3 linked regions of the Saccharomyces cerevisiae S288C genome follow. The gene in region 1 interacts genetically with each later gene. Each region holds a gene or a part of one and is shown on either strand. Other genes may lie near its edges.

Region 1 (8,011 bases):
GTCGCTGGAGTTACTTCGGCTACAAAAGTAGTTGCACCCAAGAGATGAACGGTTTCAGGCACCTCATTTGGATTTGCAATACATTCGATTAATTTTGGAATAAATCTCTCAATATCCTTATTATCAACAGTTTCAGTTGCCTTTGTGATGGTTGTCGTTGCCGCCTCCTTAACTCCTTTCTTAGTGTCCCACATGGATTCCGAAAGAACGGGAATTAGTTCCGGCATTCTTAAGGCAATCTGTTCTTTAGCGGCATCTACCAATACAGAGATTACTTCGAGAACAGCAACCTTCTCTTTCCACTTGTTGCTAGTTTCCAGCGAATGAATCAAATGAGGTAAGAGTGCTTTAACGGCAACCGGGTTAACAGCACTAGCGATGGCTTTGAGGGCCTTTGTTGCCGCAAGTTGAACATCATTATCTTTACTACCAGCTTTACTGCATACAGAAGGGACCGTCGCAACTATGTACGGTTCAACAGAAGGTGATAGATTAGTTTCATTTGCTATGTAAGCCACCGCACCCAGCGTGTTGAGCGCCTTTTGTTTACTCTGGATAGCTTTTTGAAATTCATCAAAAAAAACTTCGGGAACGTCATGCTCGATGATGTTCCCGTTTAAAAATGAGGAAAGCTCCGAAGAAATACCCTCTCTTGTTTCTGAAGTAGCAGTTTCCAACTTTCGGAAAAGCTCTTCTAGAACGGTGATTGATTGTTGTGAATCTGACATTTTGTGATTCCTTTTTTTTATTTATTTTTGGTTTAAAAGGCTCTTTTTTTGCACCACACTATCTACCCTTCTCTATTAGATTGAAAAGAAGAAGGAATTTCTGGCGCAAAAGTAACTGGAGAGGAGGACAAAAGATATATATATATATATATTTAAATGGATATATATATATGCACATATATATTATCCAGAAAAGTAAAGCAAAATGTGAATGGAAAAGAGAAAGAAGAAAGAAACAAGTGGAGAAAAAACTCAAATTGTTAGAAGAATATACCCATTAATAGCGGAAATCAAGGCTATTCTTTTGTGCAAGCGCATCGCTCCCCTAAAAGACATCCAGCCGCGCAATGCACGGGCCGCGACCTTGAAAATTTAAAAGACCACTTCCTCAACACAGTTTAGCTCTGTTAATGACAAGGCAAGGAAAGCAAGATGACCAGAAAAAGAAAGTCCCGAGACACATCTTAGATGCCAAAGAAATGGCGCCACAGCAGTTATAAAAGAGCGTTAAAATTGAACAGGAGCAACGATTTAGACTGTCATAAATATATTCGTATATATATATGTATATATATATATATATATATATATATATATAGGACGTGCTCTGCTGTTTTTTGGTGAATTATTATAGTAGACGAGAAATAAATTTACAATCGGGGAGAGAAAATTTCCGAGTAAAAAAGTGTTTGCGTTTATCTCAGGAATCAATTTGTATGAACTTCTTTGTCTTCTTCGACGTTCTCGATGACATCATTGTGCTTTTCCTTCAACTTGTTCAAGTGGAGAACATCTGGTACCTTGATGGTGTACCCTTTAATGATGTCGAATTCGTGTACAATAGAGCCACCTGCGTGATGAACTGAATCCAAGAACTTCTTAGCTTCCACATCTGGAGTGTTCTTTTTCAAAGTGACGATGAAATTCTTTGTCATTATGGACCTTGTTTTTTGTTTGTATATTTAAGATTACCTTCTGGTTACCGTTCAATTGGTCTAAACGGAATCTCTGCACCTAACATAATGAAGCCAGAATTTTTTATATGTGCCATATATATTGCATTGAAAGAAGTTCCCGATGCTCTGATATGCCCCCTTTTTCCCGCCCCATTTTATTTTTTGGGCTATGCAAGATAAAGAAAGACCAAGAGCTCGGGGATGCGTGGTATTGGTCCGTTTCCTTTTGGGAAAGATGCCAGCCACAACCTGCCACGTACGCGATTCGAAATGATTCGGGCGTGCATATGAAGCTCTTGGAAAAAAAATAAGGGCTGGATAGAGGGAAAGGAGGTGTTTGGCAGACGAAGTAATATCATCTAGGTTTTTGATATTTGGCGTCGCGACTTTTTGGTTGTCATTTTCACAACCTTTCCCTAAAGAAAGAAAAGTCCTGTGGAACCAGCCGGGTTCCTGTTAAGCTGCCTTTTTTTTGGTCTTAACAGCCATTCTTTTGTTCGAAACACAGTTCCGTACTTAATGAGAACGTTGGAGCAGCGTCACGGGTGCGCAGTGGTAGTGGCTGTTGCCTTTATGTGCCTGGACTCAAGACTGACATGTCTCCATAACGCTAGGTAGCATTTTTATATACTTAACAAAAGTTGTAAAAAATAAAAACAAAAATTATATATATGGACTCGACAAAATACAGTGGGATGGATGTTTAAAAAAAATAGGGTAAGAAAGGAAAAAGGAAATATAATAAAGAAAGCCTTCAGAAAATACGTTCTTTATTTTTATCACACTATTAGCAATGACTTTCACATTTTAAAGGAAAATAATAGTATTAAAAATTAAACAGTGACGAAGGAAGGAAATAAGACACAGAAAAACTAAAAAAATAGAGTAAGTTTATAGGCCCTTTTATTTTTCGAGCAATAGTAAATTGAGTTTCTTCTTCTTTTTCTCTCCCTTTTTCGTAGTAATTTTTTTTTTAAAAATAGTATAATATAATGAATGGATTCTTGTCGTTCTTTTTTTATTTTATCTTGGGATTTGTAGGTTGCCTCTCTTTATTCTTTCTTTTTGTTTCATTCCACTTTTCTTCATAATATTTATTGTTGTTGCTGCTGTTGCTGCTGTTGCTGTTGTTGCTCAGACATAACCGGTTGTTGTTGGTCATTCATTATAAGTGGCTGACCGCCCTGTTGCTGCTGCTGTGGCATAAAATTTGATCTTTCCTTACCCCAACCGGTTCTCAAGTTTCTGCCTTGAAATGGGAAGTTTGCCAAGGCAACAATACAAACAGCGGCCTGTTCATGAGTGTCATACTTTATGAAGCAACAGCCCTTTTCTGGATAGTGCTTGAAATCTAAAATAAAACCGAAGTTCTGGAACAACGGAATTAAATCAGCTTCAGTGGCAAAGTGCGGAATATTACCGATATAGGCAGTAGTAACTCTTGGTGGGGCACTTCTAATGATGTGGTCAACAGCTTGAGGATTTACTTGAGGAGGTAAACCAATGGTCTGGGATTGTTGGGGTTGGCCTTGAGATGGTAATGGCATGGCGCCAATTGGCATTCCCATTGAACTTGGTGGCATGCCCCTGCTGTTGTTCATATTCATATTCATGTTCATATTCATCCCCATATTCATGTTGTTATTGTTGTTACTGTTATATTGACGGAAACCACCACGGTTGTTGTTACCGTAGTTACGACGCTGTTGATAATTATTATTGTTATTGTTATCACGCTTAGCAGCCCAGTTGATTCTTAGCGGTCTACCATTCAAATCTTGACCTTGCATGCTGTCCATGGCATTTTGTGCATCATCTTGAGAAGTAAAGGAAACAAAACCGTAACCTCTTGAACTACCAGTTTGCATGTCCCACATAACATGACCACTCAAGTAGGATGGGAAGTCTTTGAAGGCATTCCTTAAAGTTTCGTCATCAACATTAACATTCAAATCACCGACAAACAAGTTAAATGTATCATCGGAGGAACTCTGTTGGGATTGGAAGGCCCAGTTGATTTTGACAATGTTGTTTTCAATTTGTTTGCCGTTCAATGTTTGTAAGGCAATATTGGCATCGTGAGATTGATGGTATTCAACAAAAGCGTAATTGACGTTCTTATTATTCTTATCGATCATGATTTTGATGTTAGCAATTGGTCCGCCAACTTGGAAATATTGCTTTAAAATGTCTTCGGTGATAGCTTTGTCTAGGTTACCAACATATAAAACTCTATCGGAAGTTTCCCTACCACCGGTAATAGCATTAGCAGGAACTACGGAAGGATCATTTTCACCCTGATTGTCTTCAGCTTGTTCAGAATTGCCTTCGACAGCGACGCTCTGTTCAGAAGAAGGATCTGCTGATGCTGGAGCTTCAACTGCCGAGGGAGTTTCGACGGCAACAGGTTGCTGTTGTTGTTGTTGTTGATGTTGTTCTTCGTTATTTTCAGACATTGGAATCGAACAAAGAGTAGATGTGGTAATCTTCTTATTATGAACCTGCTATTAAGATGATAGAAGGGAAGATTAAACTCTAACTTAAAGCACGAAATGGAAACAGTAGATATTATGAAAATAACTGCAGAGTAGAAAAAAGGAAAGGCATGCTTTACCGTAGTTGAATGATTATTACGAGAGGAAAATGAAGGACAAGGAAAGACGGCCAACGATGAAAAAAAAAAATTGAAAAATTACAACAAAAAAGAAGCGAAGGCAAAAAAAGTTGAAAAAAGTACGAAGTGAAAATACGTAAAGAATTATGTTACAAAATGATGAAAAGAGAACGAGTAAATATTCTCTTTGAATTAATTAGTATACGTTAGGATAATTAATCTTCAGAGGTTTAGTAAGAACATTGTGCTTACAACCGCAACGCGTAAACCTTATGCTAACAAGCCTCTTCGTTCACCTCCCTTGTAACGGCAGTGGGAAGGGTAAGCAAAATAAATCACATTGCGAGAAATGTAAAAAAAGAATGGTCTCTAGCGGGATCGAACCGCTGATCCCCGCGTTATTAGCACGGTGCCTTAACCAACTGGGCCAAGAGACCATTGTTATCTGTTTTTCACCCTCCCTCCACACTATCAAACCAACGTCACAAATGTGTGCCAGAACCACCGCTCATTATCTCTGTGCCACAAAAATCAACTTACACTGTCATTCGAATTTCCGGCAAACTCCGACTGAGAAATGTTCGTACTACTTCCTTTCTAGGGCACATTAAAGGAAAAACTCATTGAATGCACCCTTCACAAATCTTAATATCTCTGACCTTTGCATTGTATTAACCAAGCAACCCTCCCTGTGCAAGTAGAAGCCCTGGATCCTTTGTGGTCGTAAAATGAACAAATACCAATAAGACGAAAACAAAAACAAAAACAAAACGACATAGCAACAATGCGGAATTATTTAAGGCTGGCACTCTTTCCGCATGTTTATCACAATTATTTCCACTTTCACTTAAAACCTTGTTTAAGCTTGGCCTACACCACAGGAAAAAAAACCATCCGATCTAATCTTCAAATATCAATTTGAGGTTGAAAAAATTTGCTAAAGCGTTGGTCTAATTTTGTTTTTCGCCCACATAATGTCTACATCTTTCCAGGAGTTCAAGGCCTTCTGCAACAAGGTTGGGCTAGACTTTCAATGGCTTAATTTGCAATCCTCCAAGTCTGTTCCCGAAAACGGTTCCTCTGAAGGTTTCTCAGCCGTCAGTGATACCGTACAAGAAAACATCAGACCAGCTACGGAACCACTTAACGTCAACCAGTCCAAAGATCCTGTCAGCAACTTTTTTTATGATGTCAAGAATGCTCCACTCTGGAACGTGTATAAGAGGAATCATTCCGGTCATTCTTCTGCTGAGGCTTGTTCTGGAGTAAGTTCAAGGCAGGCGCCAAAAAACATACCCGAGGCAATGGTAAAAGAGACAGTCCTTTCTAATCACGACAATGTCACCATAATAAACGAATTACTGCCAACTTCTTCTGCCATGCATCAGGAAGAAAGCACCGCTATGACAACCTCCTACCTCTTATCCCACTCCGTAAACGATACTTGCAACGTGATGTTTTCTTCCTCCTCCCACAACCGTGCTATGCTCCCATCTTCTCTTGTGCAAAGAAATAACGCTACCACATCTCCCACAACAGACTCTGCATCAGAAAACAACGAATCGGTACCCTCACTAACCTCATCTGTTAGCACATCCTCATCAGTTTATTCGTCATGGAATCCTCCTCATTCTCCACACATATCGTCATTTCCAGACGGCAATTTCGCATCGCTTAACGCAGAAGTGACTTGCTTTGATTTCCGCCGCACCAAGGACTCCAGAACAAAAGAGACGAATGAATCTATCATTCCAACTGAAATTTACTGCCCAACAAATTCCACTGATCACCACAAACATTATCCAAGCCGAAAATCTAAACAAGATGCCTGCGCTCCTGCTCCCTGCAATCAAAATATAAGCTGCAGCGTCGTGTCCACAGCGGAATTTTCCCAGTCTAACCACACGTTGACTACTGTAGTTCCTTCATACATGCAACAGTACCTTGACAGGCCACAGAACTGGTTTGAAAGCAAAATGGGAAAATACTGTCCACTCTTTCTGAGAAGTACAAAGAACATTGACTACGATTCCCTCGAATTTAAATTTGAGCGCAAGATGATAGCTGTTCAATACCTGCTTTTAGACGAACAATCTGAGCCCAGAAGGTACTACAACCCTTCAAATAAAAGTATTCCATTCTGGAAGAGACCCTTCAACTTCGATACAATGCCCAGCTACGACCAACTTATGGAGGAAGCAGAGTGCCGTTTTTATTCATACCAATACAAATACGAAGGTTTCCAGAGGATTGAGCCCTACTCCATTTCTTGTCCCTGGAAAAACACACAAAGAGAAATAGATCTGGTTCTTGATCACATTCATTTTTCTCTCGATGTCGGCGAGAAGAAGTCTTTAAACCGAAAAGGAAACATCACTCTCGATACTTTAGACAGTAAGGTCGATCCTAACATTCAGATCAAGCCGTATCAGATTTTTCCGTCCAACAACCTAGTATACGAAGGCTTACCGCATCCCGCCGAACAATCCTTAATTTTGAGTCCTGACACCTCCCTCATTGAGAGGGCGTTTCAGGCACTGATAGACATATGCAAGGAATCCATTCCATCTTCTAATGACTGTAGTACCCGCAATAATAATAGCGCTCCTCAGCTTACCGTGCCAGAACCATCTAAACCATGCCGGCTGCTACTTGTTCGTGAGTCTCGCACAGCAACTGAACTAAAAACTAATAAAAAGCTCTGGCTCCACTCACAAAGAAGGAATATCGAAGTGACCGTACCAATGCATCCTTCTGAGCGTGGGACAAAAAGCTGGTTACGAAAATGGCTCTCAACTTTTGTACATCAGTGAACCGTCAGAAGTTCTGATAGTTCGAACTGTTTGGCACGGCTGACCAAATACTTTTTAACAAGCAAGTTAGTCTACACATAACTTCGTACTTACCACCGTTTTCTTCTGGCGCGCCTCTTCAAGTAGACTACCACCTCTCTTGTAATAGTTGTTATATATGTTTTCATAGTCTGATTTAAATTTTACGCATATTCATCAATTAACCCAATGCACCAAAAAGGCGGGAAAGAAGCAGTAAAGCAAAGGCTTTACTTAAATGCCAAGTAAGGCCTTTGCCAAGCTTTCTTATCGACAGAAGCAGCCCCAGAAGGTTCCTTCGAGAGAGGCGCGCGTATTTATTCACATCGCGGATCACTGGACCCTTAAAATAAAGGCGCCTATTCACAACATCTGCCACAGAAACAACTGTTCAGTTATCCTAGCAGCAGTTTTTGCACAACGGTATAAACCTGTACAAAACTTTAGCAAGGTTTTTTAACACCAAAAGTGCTTGAAGGACACAACACAAACTATAGAACAGACACTGTTTTCCTGACACTGCTTTCCTGACAAGAGACTCGTTTCTGAATTATTTTTTTTTTCAAACATCTTTGTTTCGCTGGAACCATTGAGTCTTTTCTTCCATTTTTAATCTTTATTCTGCCTCCTTTCCTAAACACAAGTTGATACAACGAGGCTGTCAATAGCAAGAGCGTGCGCGAGATTATGCTTTACTCCAGAGAATCAAGGACAACCGTCCTTTTCCTTGCGTTGGTTACCTCCCTAACCGTACTTTGTCACTCGGTCGATGTAACAACTGTATTTACTACGTCAACAATCACCGAAATCACAACTGTGACTGCCGCACCGCAACCACAAAACAAAGCGGAAACCGCTTTGAATACTGCTACTAACATAATT
Region 2 (8,187 bases), on another chromosome or scaffold:
GCCAGAGACTGTGAGTTCTACAGTAAAGAACTGTCTAGAATTATTTCTGACTTAGAGGAACCTATTATCGTCTACAGATGTCTGCATTTTCTTCACAGATACTATATGATTACAGAGCAAACCTGTCTTCAAAATATAACTTTGGGAAAAGCCAATAAGGCATTTGATTATCTTGATGCTGAGGCAGACATTACAAGTTTGACAATGTTTCTGTATGATAATAAGGAATTTGTAAAGTTAGAGCAGTCGTTGGTCCTATATTTCGGTGACCAGCTAGAAAAAACATTCCTACCTAATTTGTGGAAGCTTCACTTGGGTAAGGATATTGACGACAGCATTTGTCTGTCCGAATATATGCCCAAAAATGTAATCAATAGAGTACACAATATGTGGCAAAAAGTAATGAGCCAATTGGAGGAAGATCCTTTCTTCAAAGGTATGTTTGAATCTACCCTTGGGATTCCCTCTTCTCTGCCTGTTATTCCTAGCACGATGCCCAACAACATTTTAAAAACTCCTTCCAAGCATAGTACAGGATTGAAGCTTTGCGATTCACCAAGATCGTCGAGCATGACGCCTAGAGGTAAGAATATAAGACAGAAATTTGATAGAATTGCTGCTATTAGTAAATTAAAACAGATGAAAGAACTTTTGGAGAGTTTGAAACTAGACACATTAGATAATCACGAACTGTCCAAAATTTCCTCCCTTTCTTCATTAACTCTGACTATCCTTTCAAACATAACTAGTATCCATAATGCTGAGAGTAGTTTGATAACTAATTTTTCGCTAACTGACTTGCCAAGGCATATGCCTTTGTTATTCGATAAGGTATTGAATAATATTGATAATAAAAATTACCGAGAATTTCGCGTTTCATCACTAATAGCTCCGAACAATATATCCACAATTACAGAGAGTATTAGAGTATCTGCCGCCCAGAAGGACTTAATGGAGAGCAACCTTAATATTAATGTTATAACTATTGACTTCTGTCCCATAACTGGAAATTTACTTCTATCCAAATTAGAACCGCGACGTAAGAGAAGGACGCATTTAAGGCTACCGCTAATACGATCTAATTCAAGAGACCTCGACGAAGTTCATCTCTCATTTCCGGAGGCTACAAAAAAACTACTTTCTATTATCAATGAAAGCAACCAAACGACGTCAGTGGAAGTTACCAACAAGATTAAAACAAGAGAAGAAAGAAAATCTTGGTGGACCACAAGATATGATTTGGATAAAAGAATGCAACAATTGTTGAATAACATTGAAAATAGTTGGTTCAATGGCGTTCAAGGGTTTTTTAGCCCTGAAGTAGTCGACAACTCGTTATTTGAAAAATTTAAAGATAAATTTTACGAAATTCTGCATCAAAATCTTCCTTCCAGAAAACTCTATGGCAATCCGGCAATGTTTATAAAAGTTGAAGATTGGGTAATCGAATTGTTCTTGAAACTTAATCCGCAAGAAATCGATTTTCTTTCGAAGATGGAAGACCTGATATACTTTGTTCTTGATATTCTTCTCTTCCATGGTGAAGAAAATGCTTACGACGAAATTGATTTCAGCATGCTTCACGTGCAGTTAGAAGAGCAAATAAAGAAATATAGGGCAACTATGACAACTAATAGTATATTTCATACATTTTTAGTCGTTAGCAGTTCATGCCATTTATTCCCTTGGGAGTGTCTTTCATTTTTGAAAGATTTGTCTATCACACGTGTTCCGTCCTATGTTTGTCTGAATAAACTTTTATCGCGTTTCCATTACCAACTACCCCTTCAAGTAACTATTGAGGACAACATTAGTATGATATTAAATCCGAACGGAGATTTGTCCAGGACTGAATCTAAATTCAAGGGTATGTTCCAAAAAATAATCGATGCAAAACCTTCCTCTCAATTAGTGATGAACGAGAAGCCGGAAGAGGAAACACTTTTGAAAATGCTGCAAAATTCTAACTTATTCGTTTATATAGGGCATGGCGGAGGTGAACAATATGTAAGGAGTAAGGAGATTAAGAAATGCACCAAAATTGCCCCCAGCTTTTTACTGGGCTGCTCTTCAGCAGCGATGAAATATTACGGCAAGTTAGAACCTACTGGAACAATCTATACTTATTTGCTGGGAGGATGCCCTATGGTACTAGGTAATCTGTGGGATGTAACTGACAAAGATATTGATAAATTTAGCGAGGAACTTTTTGAAAAGATGGGATTTCGCTGTAATACTGACGATTTGAATGGTAATAGCCTATCTGTTTCATATGCCGTCTCTAAATCTAGAGGTGTATGCCATCTACGTTACTTGAACGGCGCAGCTCCTGTTATTTATGGGTTACCGATCAAGTTCGTATCATAATTGTTACATGTACTGGCTGTTTCGAAAAGATTTCATATAGGCATTGAGAAAAAGCATGGGAAATCCGATTTTGTTCTTATATCCAAAAATAATAAGTAAAAGAACCTGGGATTGATAAAAAAGTTTCATCTTTTTAGTATAGTTCATAATAGTAATTTTCATTTCATTATTGGGCACCTCATGGTGCGATACAAATATTTTAAGATTGCTTATATAATCACGAACACCTTTACGTACCATCCCAAACTACCACACAGTTGTTAGTTCACATACCATTGACACAAAGTCATAGCAGGAATTAAAAACACGAAACATCTATATTCTATAGGAGTTGCATTATAAAAATATGAATAAAAAACGGTGCTTAGAAAATAAACGGCGAACCATACAGGCTGTTTCTCAAAAGAGAACAAAAGTTAAGGCGTAACAATTAAGAATAAATCGACTGGTTTAGCTTTATAGTATCATTATTAGTTGAATCACCATCATCTTCTTGAATTCCACCACTCATAAATTGGTTAGTCATTAGATTACCACCGTGATTTGCACCCTTTTTTGAAAACATTAAACTATTCAAAGAACTAAATGATACGTTTTTCTTGTGCTTTCGGATAGGATGCACCCTAGAAGCTGTTGAACTAGAGGTAGTCAAATTTTGGGCGCTATTATTGCCCCGTTTATAGAAAGCAGGGTGCGCATGAGTCTTTTCAGCAGTCAAACAAGGAACATTGCCTGTGCTGTTCGTTTTCTTTAAGGTTTGGTATGGTGATTCGCGGTTGATCGTTGTGACGGACGAATTCATGGTAGGTGAAGAAGGTGCTGTAGCAGACTGATCGGCAGCAACAGTTTTAACATTTTGGTTATTGACCATCACCTTAGGTACAACGGGAGCGTTCGCTGTAATTGAATTACCTGCAGATGTACTTCTCATCGCTGTGACATTAACACTTGAACTTGAAGTTCTTGATAAAGGTTGCATTTGTAAAGGTTGCTGTTGTTGTCGTATTTGGTCGTCATTATAACATGGGCTAGAGCCTTCAGAGTTTCTCTGGGTGTAATTATTATTGTTGTTGTTCCCATGAAGCGGAATGGCAAAATAACCGCCTGAGCTGGATTCTGAATTAGAGCTACCTGGAGAATTCACTGGTAGGGATAGGGATGTGTATGAAAATCCAGGTAGGGAACTTGTTTGTGAAATATTTCTTTGGTGGCGCAAATTAGTTGTTGGATTAGTATTATTATTTGCTGTTGATTGTTGGAGCATCATCCCATTACTCGTTATTGATACAGCCGGGTTATACCCATTATACATGCTTTGAGGTCTTGAGCCCGATGAATAAGAAGGAGTTGTGTTACCTGAAGTGGCCATGTAGTCAGAGTATTGGTGCGGAGATTGTGCAGGTCTTCTTTCCACCGTAATCAAATTGCCATAATCGTCAATAGCAGGTGTATTAACCTTGGATCTAAAACCATTTCCATCAAAATCTGCTAGTGAATTGTTCTGAATATGAATATACTGAGGTTTCTCCGCCCTGCCCTTTAGGTTGACGGACGTCGTAGTACCGTCTTGTAATGTGAATGTGCTATCTGTTAAACAAGGTGTATGGGAACCTATGTTCACGCTGTTTCTTGACATATGTCCCGCCTTGAATCGGTGTGATTTCATCACACGGTCTTCGATAAACTTAATTCTATCTTTAGTGTCATTGAAGCTCGTTAAATTTTTCAAATCTTGGACCCAACGTTTAAAATGTTTCAATTCCTCTTCAGAAGGCTCTGGAGATACTATTTTAAAGGTCCAAGTCACATAATTGTTCGATTCCTTTTGAGCTGCAGCGTAAAATTGGTCCAGTTCACTTGATTTCGTATTCTTATTTTTGGGCTTACTTCCCTTCAAAAACTTGTGGAATGGGGCTTTTGAAAATATTTTTGCAGTCTCGTGGCCATATTTTGGTAAAGACGCTTGTGAAGAGCCAGATAAATAAGTGCTAGAGCTAGATTTTCTAACATCAGCGTTTTCATTAAGAGTGGGTTTACCTACAAGAACAAATTTGGTGGAAGATGCATCCTTTAAGGTACAATCATTTAGCGGAATACTCATAATCGGTGCCAAATAGCTCTTTTTGCGAATACCGCGAATACCATTTGCACCAGCTGTACCACCAGTTGTCGTACTGCTGTTATGTACATCACTAGCCTGGCGATGATGATTGTTAGCTTTGGCATTATTAGCATTGGCATAAGTGTCTGCAATGGAAACGGAAGAAGAATAAGCTGAAGACTTCGTGGAGTTAGGGGTAGAAGAAGATAGGTTATAAAAATCGCTACTCTGGAATTCATGAATATAGTTTGATGTTAGAACAAAATATCCTTGGTGGTAAGTGGGCAACAATTCCGATTTCTTCAAAAAATAACCTGCCTTAATACACTTGGCCAGTGGGGATTTCATGTGGGGATAAATAACGTCGGAAACTTTTCTTGGTGGTGGTATAGGATCGTTGGATTTCCAATTGAGTAGACAGGACGGATGCTGTGTGACAAAATTATCCCATTCAAATGCAGGAGGCTTTGATATTATACCATGTTGTAGTTCTTGGCACATATTTTTGATCATTAGACGAGCTTCGGAGTCAATTAAAGCAGAATAACGCAACAAAGCATGCTGGATTTTGGTGTATATAATTTTTTCTAATTGCAAACCTGAACTCTGTAAATTGATGAACGCTTCTTGCAAGTAAGTTTCTTCGGCAACTTGACGTTTGAGTTGTAAGTCTAGTTGCAGTTTCAAAAGATATGGATCATGTTTTGGATCCAATTTATGTGGCTTCTTATTAGTAGGAGATGCTCTATCGTTGCCAATACCATGCGCGTTCATGAATTTTACAGCTGCGATGTATTTTTTCAATAGTTGACTTGTTAGCTGAATATGTGCTCCGATGTTTGTTTTGAAATCACCATGAAGGTCCTTAATTTCCGTAATTTTATATCTTAAATCTTTTCTCAATTCCTCCAATTTAGGAATGACGGTGGACGTAATCTCTTTAGAGATCTTAAATTGCTGGTTAGCCAACGAAAGATGGTACTTCTTCAAAATGACCTGGATGTCTTGAATCGAGCCTGAACCGAACTTAACAAAACCGGATGCGGCAGATGTATTGTCCGACTCTGTGGTCTGGACAGGCTTGTATTCATGAGGCGCCAAACTCATTTTACTTTCATCTGTGGGAGCCTGCACTGCATTTTCCTGCTGTTCCTGTTGCATTTGCATCTGAAATTGTTCGCTGTCAGTCAGGCCAACTTTCTTCTGCGCAGGCTGCGCTTTCTTAGGGCCTCTAGGAGCCGTTGTGAATGGATCCGTAATGGTATTTGTGGTTTCATCAATATCAGTCAAAAATGGAAATTTCACAGATCCTTTCAGTTGGTAATTGATCCGTGCGAACTGTTCTTGCGCATACGCGACTTCCCTCAAGTAAATCACTAACCCTTTCAGAATTTTTTTCCATTTATAAAACCTGTCTACAAGGATGTCGGTGGGATACTCCTTAACAAACTGCCCATCGATAGCTTCATCACCTGCAAGGGGCTTCTTCGTTTCCGTAGTAGAGGTTGGCTGAGCCTTTGGTATAGGGACGTTTATGAAGTAGGGAGATCTCTCATCTGTTTCAGGCAAAATAAACTCCTTTGCCTGATTGTTTGCCACTATGGAGGAAACACTTTCGTTCAAGGTCATCGAATCAGGTAAGATGTCCATCAAGTACTGCGAGCTCTTCGAGTGGATGGAGGAGGCGTCATCGCCGCCACCACCGCCAGATGGCTTATTGCCCATCGGCGTGAGCGTTTGCGAAGGTCTGGAACTAAAGTAATCAGACATTAGTTTGAGCCCAGTTTTGTCCTATTTCTAATGCACTCTCGTTGTGTTTGGTAGAAGAGGTGTTAAAAAACAGAAATTTTCGGTCGTTATAGTATAGATAGTTTAGTTTGTAACTACGCTGTCTTTCCTTATTCTTGTACGCTTCGCCCTAGTTCCTGTGAAAAAAGCTTTCTGTAGTAGCGTTATTTTTAGATTTCAAGATAGGAGAAGAATGGTTATTTTCGACAATGAAGATGAAGAAGGGCAGCGCTGTTTGAAGGGAAAGGGAATGCAAGACTAGGAAATATGGATTCAGCTAGCACATTTATGAGTAAGGGGAGGTGTTATTCAGTGCAAAAACTAGTGAAAAAAAAAAATAGGAAAAAAGATAAAGAGATGACAGAAAGCTAAACGCTTACAAGAAAAATGATGGATCGTAAACACGCAATCCAACAAATCGGCGGTGATGGTGATGATGAATCATCTCCGGAGGTTTGAAACTTAGAATCTGACATTTTTTCCCGCTTATTTTTGCGATTTTTTTTTTTGGTAGGATCAGGCGAGGTTGAACATCTCCCACGTTTCTCATTTCTTGGCTATTAAGGAGCCAAGAAATGAGAAAAGGCGAAAAAAAAAAAAAAAAAAGAAAAAAAAAAGTGTAAGTATGCCACATCTAAGAAGGGTGGCTACCACAAGGGTGCAGAGATTGCAGCAGTCCTTGCTTTCTTCAATTTTACTACTTCTTGTTACTCCTAGTCCGTGTGCTTGCGCAGATGTAAGTTGTGTTGAAACAACAAGCAGATGTAGTGGTCCCTGACGCTGGTTCCATCGGAAGATCCGATTCATTGTTTCCTTCTCTCCCTTCCCCGCTGACTGAGCGGAAAAAAAGATAAAAAAAAGAAGAAAAACCGGTGCGGGGCAGCAGGCAACTAAGAAAAACCGGAAAAAGGGTTGGCGTCAGATCGCTAGCAACGAGATTCCTCTTTTTTTTTCGATTTTTTGTTATTAGAGGAAGACGGCGCGACTGAGTCAGGCCGTAATCGGAATGGAAAACCGGGCGGCTACCGATCTTTGTCAGTGAAGAATATAAGATATGATGATTTCGTATATGTATATGAGTGTGTACATGTGACAAAAAAGATTGGAAACTTTAGTACATCCGCAAATAATGGATGGCAGTTTCATACCCCCAGAAACTCACAAAAGTGGTGGGTATTGTCTTGGAAAGGGCCACCAGAATACCTCTGTAAAGCGAACTCACACCTTCTTGTTTCAAAATCTGTAAACCGATTCTTGCGAATCCGTACCCTTTATAAGAACCGTATACAGACGAATGACGGGAGAACTTTTCCAGATGCTTCGAATTCATGAACTGCATTCGCCTACGGATCGTTTCGAGGGGGAAAGTAATGATCTTAGCAATGACGCCGCCAATGGTACCAGCGCTGTGATTTAAAGTAGCCAGTTCCCATTTTTTATGCGCGGCGGTCGTTTTTTCGTTTTCGTCACAGTATATCCTGATTGTTTCGTATGTTCCGAACATTATAGATGCGGTTAGAGTTATGGTTGTCATTGACGCGATGGAGCCCTTGAAAAATCCGGGGAGACCTTCTAGTTTCCAGATATCACGCACTTCTCTCGTGATGCTCATTGAGTGCATCTGGTTGTTGGCAACTAGTCGGGTCCGTAAAACATCGAACGGGTAGGAAACGATGGAACTGGTTATGCCAGCAAAGGCTCCGACAACAAGACTATGTAAGCGCGCCTCTAGTCCAAATGGAGTTAAATATCTATTAAAAAGGGAGTATGAACTAAACTGCGCTGAGCCATAGGTAACGTACAGCAAAGAACCGGGTATGTTACCCTTCCAAAAGGACCGGATGCCTTCGTTCTTTATCATGCTTCTGGCCACCTCCATGACCTGACTTCCGAAGGGCTTCAGCCCATTTGCAGGGGTCAATTGCAATCTG
Region 3 (6,210 bases), on another chromosome or scaffold:
TTAGTTCATTCTCCTTTTTCCTGGAAGATTGAGTAGCCGTGGTCAACAAAATAGACTGTGGATAGTTTCTACGTTCAGAACCTAGTGTATCTGGAATGACATCTAATGTCAAGCATGGCCATGGCATATTGACATTATGTAGCATTTCATAAACAGTGGGATCAGCCTCAAGGACTTCATCTGGCCCTAATGGACGAGACATATGGGGTAAGTAAAGCTCCTGGATCTTTTCTTTGTTGCCTTCGGATTGGTCCTTTTGTACTAAAGTTTCAGCTTCTTCTTGCTTTTTCCTAAGGTCATCTTCGTCATTAATCTCATCATCGCCATCAATTTCAATAATTTCACCATCACTATCAAATTCATCACTCAATTGTTCTTCTAGGTCATTCTTGGGAGCATCTTGCTCTTCAGAGGCGGGAATAGCAGGAACAGAGTGAGATTCTGTTTTAGCAGAGACCACTCTATCTTGTTCCTCGTTGACCTCGATAGACCTTTTCGACATTATGGTGCTATTTCCGTGTATATGAAAACGGAGAGTAGGTGATATAACTATTTACCTACAAATTCAAACAACTACAATCCCTATAAGAAATGATCATCTCATCGCTAAATTCAGTTGGATTTTATTTTCTGTATTTTTCGCTGAAAGGAAAAAAATTTTCACGGCTCGAACGAAAAAAGAAACGTGATCACGATGTAAGTACAAATGGTACTCTATTTTGAAGCGTCTACGTTATGTAGATGATATCATACTTCCAGTTGCATATCGTCAGTAACCTCATCTTTAGACTGTTTGTTCTTCTTCTTTTGGTTTTTTTTCGCTACTTTCCTTAGCTTTTCTTCTTCAATAAGATTTGATCTATTCGACTCAATATAGTTTACAAAAAAATCACCATTTTTGGTCTTCTTTGCTTCGTTAAGTGTAGCTTCCACATTATTAAATAGTTCTACCCTTGTCTTGGCCAGTCTGTTTAGTATTTTGTTATCTCGTGCTCCGCATTCCATTTTTCTACATTGTCTTAGAGACTTAAATGATACTTCACCGGGATTCATATACCTGTTTTTTCTCAAGTTATGCCATGGTGTTATCAAGATGGTGCATTGTGGCATTTTGTTTCCTTGAATGGATTCTGATTTACATAGCTGCAGACAGTCACATATCACTTCTTGCGGTATGTCATCGATTGTTTTTTCATTTGGGCGTAACTTTAAATAAACATGACCACTTGAGTACTTATCCGCGTGAAACCAAACATAGTTTAACTCCCTATAGCTCCATTTGATAAGTAGATCGTTTTCAAACTTATCTTTGCCCATCACAATTTGGTAAGGTGTTGAATACTCAGTTGGTTTTGATTCATAGAAATACACCATTGTTATTGAAAAGTTGAATTTCAATTGAGCCTTATAATTCTATTCGCTTACTTTCTAAATTTTAAGTATAAGGCAGTCCTCTGGTCTACAGAGTTGTTTTGTTTTTTTATCCAAGTTCTTTGTTTCAATCTTATTGTAGTTTTTTTCCATTAAAATATTAAAGCCTAGGATAATCTATATCCTAAACTAAATATAAATTAAGAGTATAAAAGATGAAAGTAAATAGCATCTAGCATTCAGAAAAAATAAGAAGTCTCTTTTCAAATGATTGATCGAGCACAACGAATGTTTTCAAACCACTGTTAATTTTTTTATAGATGTAATGACTACTTATATGTTCTACGATGTGATTTTGTAGGAATAAAATAAAATTCAGTTTACCGTCTGCATATTCATAAACACTTAAATGACTGTTAAAGTATTCAGTATTTTAAATAATAATAACATAAATTATTAATACATACTTAAATACGAAGCCCATTTTGGTGGGTTCCTGAAAGAATATCAACTTTTTTTTACTAATAGAGAATTTCGTTACAAGGTGGGCGGCTAACTTATAAAAAGCAAAGGAGAAGGTTTTAACATATCGTCAAGTTAAGTTTGAAAGAGAGAACTAAAATAAAAAAAAAGAGAAAAATGTACGAGTACTGCTCAGTTGTAATAAAGAAATACTCCAAGTATACAATTCCCTCCTTCGCTCCAAATGGTTTTCAATCAATGCTTGAGCCTCCTCAGATAGACAAGTGGCAACACCTTTCCGCTAACTGCACTCTCCAATTTCGGGTTCTTCTAATGGACTCTAGACAAATTCTGATCAATGTGGTTCTCAATAATTCAACACTTCTCGAAAATATTCGCCTGCCGCTGGGGGATAATCAAGATTTAATACAATTTTCATGTAAAAGCCCCATAATCTCTTGTAAATATATCTCCGAAGAATTCGGACCCAGAATGTTAAGGAGGTTTCAGATGAATTTGCCAAATGACGTTGAGTTCAACAGGACTGTAGTTTCTTTAAAGAACCTTAATTTTGTTTTAAGGACAGCTAGGACATCAATAGCCCAGAGTACAATAACAAGCCAGGTGCAAGGCAATAATAACGGTACAAAGGTCTGTTTCACAGAAGGTCCAAAAGTTAGTAGCTACACAAATCCGAACACGCAATTTCAAACTCAAAACATGATTATGGATTTCAGTCAACGTTATCAGGAAGAATCTGAAAGAGAGTCAAATAATCGTTCAAATATAACTTTACCACACGACAGCATTCAAATAGCTCAACAAATATGGCCAAACACGGATTTAAATGTAGTACAATCTTCACAAGACCTCAACACTCCAATGGCTACGCAAACTGTTTTGGGTCGTCCTGAGTCGCTAATTGTACAGCCATTGGAGGTTTCTCAATCTCCACCAAACACTACCAACTGCCTTCCTAATGCAGAAAACAAAAAGAAAAAAGTCGACACCACTTCTGATTTTACTTCAAGAAAGGAGATTGCTCTGTGTAAAACTGGTTTATTAGAAACTATTCATATACCAAAGGAAAGGGAAAGTCAGATGCAAAGCGTCACTGGTTTAGATGCAACACCAACGATTATATGGAGCCCCGGGAAAGACAACACGGCGAAGAAAAATACCAGTAATAAGAAAAATATTGATGATAAACTAACAAACCCCCAAAAATCTGGAAATACACATACCCCTGATAGAAATAAAGAAGTGCTACCTAACGGCACACTTAATGAAACGAGGAAAGAAGCATCGCCAAGCGAAGGATTAACGATAAGAGTTAAAAACGTTAATCGGAATGCGTCAAGAAAAATATCTAAGCGGCTAATCAAGGAAAAGTTGAAAGACGAAGAATTCATGAAATGGGTATGTATGCATTTGCAAGAAACTGAGCTGTTTCCCCCTCTTATCCACTCATTTTCTCTGACTTGACAAAGAAATACTAACTAACAACTTTTGCCACTACAAATATGAATGAAAAGGTTAATAAGGTTGAAACGGTTCTCAATAAAATGTTCGAAAAGTGAACCCTTTTTTTGCAATTCCTTTTTACACTAGCCACGAAGTAAAATGGAAAAGTAAACCCGAGTTTCGGCAATATCGCTAAGCAAGAAGAGCAAGCTCGTTTAAGTAAGCCTTTATGAAAAAAAAACAAAATATAAAGCATTATAAAAATTGAATCACATCGCAAATCTGCAATATACTTGGAAGTGTTTATAGCAAAGTGTGGTATAGAAAAAGAACCAAAGGCCGGTATGTCGTTAAAGGATAGGTATCTAAATCTCGAATTAAAATTAATAAATAAACTACAGGAGTTGCCATATGTTCATCAATTTATCCATGATCGAATAAGTGGTAGGATAACTCTCTTTTTGATAGTGGTTGGTACGCTTGCATTTTTTAACGAACTGTATATAACGATCGAAATGAGTCTTCTACAAAAGAACACATCAGAAGAACTAGAGCGTGGAAGAATCGATGAAAGTCTGAAGCTTCATCGGATGTTGGTGAGTGATGAATATCACGGTAAAGAATACAAAGACGAGAAAAGCGGTATTGTTATTGAAGAGTTCGAAGATCGCGATAAGTTTTTTGCAAAACCTGTGTTTGTATCAGAATTGGATGTCGAATGTAATGTTATTGTAGATGGGAAAGAACTTCTGTCCACCCCATTAAAATTTCATGTTGAATTTTCTCCAGAGGATTATGAAAATGAAAAAAGACCTGAGTTTGGTACTACCTTGCGTGTATTGAGGCTGAGACTTTACCACTACTTTAAAGATTGCGAAATATATCGCGATATAATTAAGAATGAGGGCGGTGAAGGGGCAAGAAAGTTTACGATTTCCAACGGTGTCAAAATTTACAATCATAAAGATGAACTACTGCCATTGAATATCGATGATGTTCAATTATGTTTCCTGAAGATTGATACGGGAAACACGATAAAATGCGAATTCATACTATGAAAGCTTCCAAAAAAAAAAAAGAAAAATCAATTGCTAAATGCATACATGCAGGTAGGCACACACACACACACACACACACACTCACTCACACATGCACACGCACACACACATATATAAATATATACGTACTATGTATGTCAGTTTTCGACCCTAGGAACCCCTATTTGGTTGTGATGAAGCTGATTTTCGCACCAACACCACAGTTTCATTATCTGCGTCAATCTTGGTTCATAGGGAAATTCGGAAGAGTAGTAATTATTGAATTCTAAACCTTTTTCCTTTCCATTTGAAGAGGAAAGCAATTCAGAAGTTTGATTCCAGTAATTTTTATTTTCTAAGTTATGAAAAGTTGTCGCCGCTGAACCTGTGCCAACATTTCCATCCCTTTGATTTAGCCAAACTGAATTAGCAGCAGCCGTGACCTCGTTGCTTGACATCTTTTCGTTGATAGGTTGGTCAGACGAAATGTGAGTTATTTTTGTACCATTTGAACCATTGACGAGATTGTTGTTATACACCGTGAAGTTCTGCGTAATTATTTTCTTGTCGGAATTTAACAAATCTGGAAATTTGGAATTATTATTGCTGATCTCAAATTGAATCCTTGGATGAATAAACTTCAGCAGCTTCTCATTAACCAGATCTGCTATCTTAGATCTTAGAGATATCGAGTACAGATTTTGTAACGATTTGGGCAGCTTAATGCTGCCGCTGTCCGCCGAATCTGACAAGGGGAAAAGCAGCAGAGTCATTGCTAATTCTAACTCTTGCATCTTTTTGACACTTGACGAAGCCTTTATTGCAAGTTTATTTTGAGAATACTGAATTAGATTGAGTATAAAGTCGTTGGAATCCTTGGTGATGTTCTCCTGTTGATGGTGACTTCTTATCATCTCGATCAAATTCAGTAACAGCAGTTTGAAGTGTAAATCTCCATCTATGTCAAACTGCTGCTGCTGCTGCTGCTGCTGCCTGTCAGTTCTACCCGTATAACTTCCCGTAGCATTGAAAGTCTCTTCCAGCACCTCCAGCCCGAAGATAGAGTTTATCTCCTCCATCGCCTCATTGATACGCCCCAGCTTAATAAGATGTTTGATATGGAAACGCTCCTTGATCTTGTACAAATCATTGAAAACCGCAATGTCTTTGTTGTTCCGTATAAATCCCAGCTCCTTGGCCATCCTAATGCTCGAGTCTTCATATGCCATAGAAACAAAGTAGTTCAACAGAAGCCGTGGCAGTGTGGGCTCTATGGGTGTGGTCTGTATGGTAGCAAATCCCTCGTCCTGCGAGCCGCCACTGCTGTTGGGCTGAATTTTCAGCGGATAATGTATTGTCTTATTTGCATATAGCTCGCCCATGGCAGAATACTTGGCCACCTGCTCCTTCCATTCTTCCTTCGTGAAGCACTTCTTTCCATACGTAAAGTCTTTCCCACCATTCTTGCCTTGGCCGCTGCAAGATCCGCTCTTCGTGGTCTCGTTACTAAGAGTAGATATAGTCATTTCTATTTGTTACCACACACAAATATATCTTCATCCGGCTGATATTTGTCTCTACTGCCCCTTTGCTTGCAATTTAATGACCAAATTACACATGTTAGCTTCAAGAAAAATGATGTACCATCAAAATGTCTCCTGCAACGAACCGGGGCACCGCGCCGGCAGAGTCAGGAAAGCGAGATCGACACTGATAGTGATAAACAGCAACACAATGGAGCGATTACCATTCACTCGGAACGGATCCGGACAACAGTCAAATAAACTCCGGGATCCCAAAAAGGGCCGTACACACAAACCCAAGCCGAGCGAAAAACACAAAAAAAATAAAACAGGGAAAAAAGGAGCGCAAGAGA

The links.
Region 2: mutations in PUB1 (region 1) and ASK10 together harm fitness more than expected from each alone (negative genetic interaction), as found in Saccharomyces cerevisiae (2 studies listed by BioGRID).
Region 3: mutations in PUB1 (region 1) and REC114 together harm fitness more than expected from each alone (negative genetic interaction), as found in Saccharomyces cerevisiae (2 studies listed by BioGRID).

What each region holds. Positions count from the first base shown.
Region 1 is NC_001146.8:599,036-607,046, reverse strand, and holds PUB1 (Pub1p), read right to left. Parts: upstream 4,141-8,011; coding exon 2,779-4,140; downstream 1-2,778. Other genes in the region: HEF3 (translation elongation factor EF-3), read right to left, coding at 1-728; PBI2 (Pbi2p), read right to left, coding at 1,436-1,663; YNL018C (uncharacterized protein), read left to right, coding at 5,273-7,111; YNL019C (uncharacterized protein), read left to right, coding at 7,817-8,011. UniProt on the Saccharomyces cerevisiae protein: May be associated with hnRNA within the nucleus and remains associated during nucleocytoplasmic mRNA transport, once the proteins are in the cytoplasm, disassembly of PUB1-RNA complexes may occur prior to PAB1 binding and formation of a translationally competent RNP complex.
Region 2 is NC_001139.9:676,746-684,932, reverse strand, and holds ASK10 (Ask10p), read right to left. Parts: upstream 6,239-8,187; coding exon 2,798-6,238; downstream 1-2,797. Other genes in the region: ESP1 (separase), read left to right, coding at 1-2,367; thiamine transporter TPC1, read right to left, coding at 7,368-8,187. UniProt on the Saccharomyces cerevisiae protein: Positive regulator of FPS1 glycerol channel required for the glycerol efflux. As a component of the RNA polymerase II holoenzyme, is required for SSN8 destruction in response to oxidative stress but not heat shock.
Region 3 is NC_001145.3:534,197-540,406, forward strand, and holds REC114 (Rec114p), read left to right. Parts: upstream 1-2,010; coding exon 2,011-3,252; intron 3,253-3,368; coding exon 3,369-3,413; downstream 3,414-6,210. Other genes in the region: ribosome biosynthesis protein RRB1, read right to left, coding at 1-502; JLP2 (Jlp2p), read right to left, coding at 748-1,374; ERG29 (Erg29p), read left to right, coding at 3,642-4,355; glucose-induced degradation complex subunit GID8, read right to left, coding at 4,493-5,860. UniProt on the Saccharomyces cerevisiae protein: Required for the production of double-strand breaks (DSBs) in meiotic recombination initiation; not required for mitosis. Plays a role in activation of the DSB nuclease SPO11 at recombination hotspots.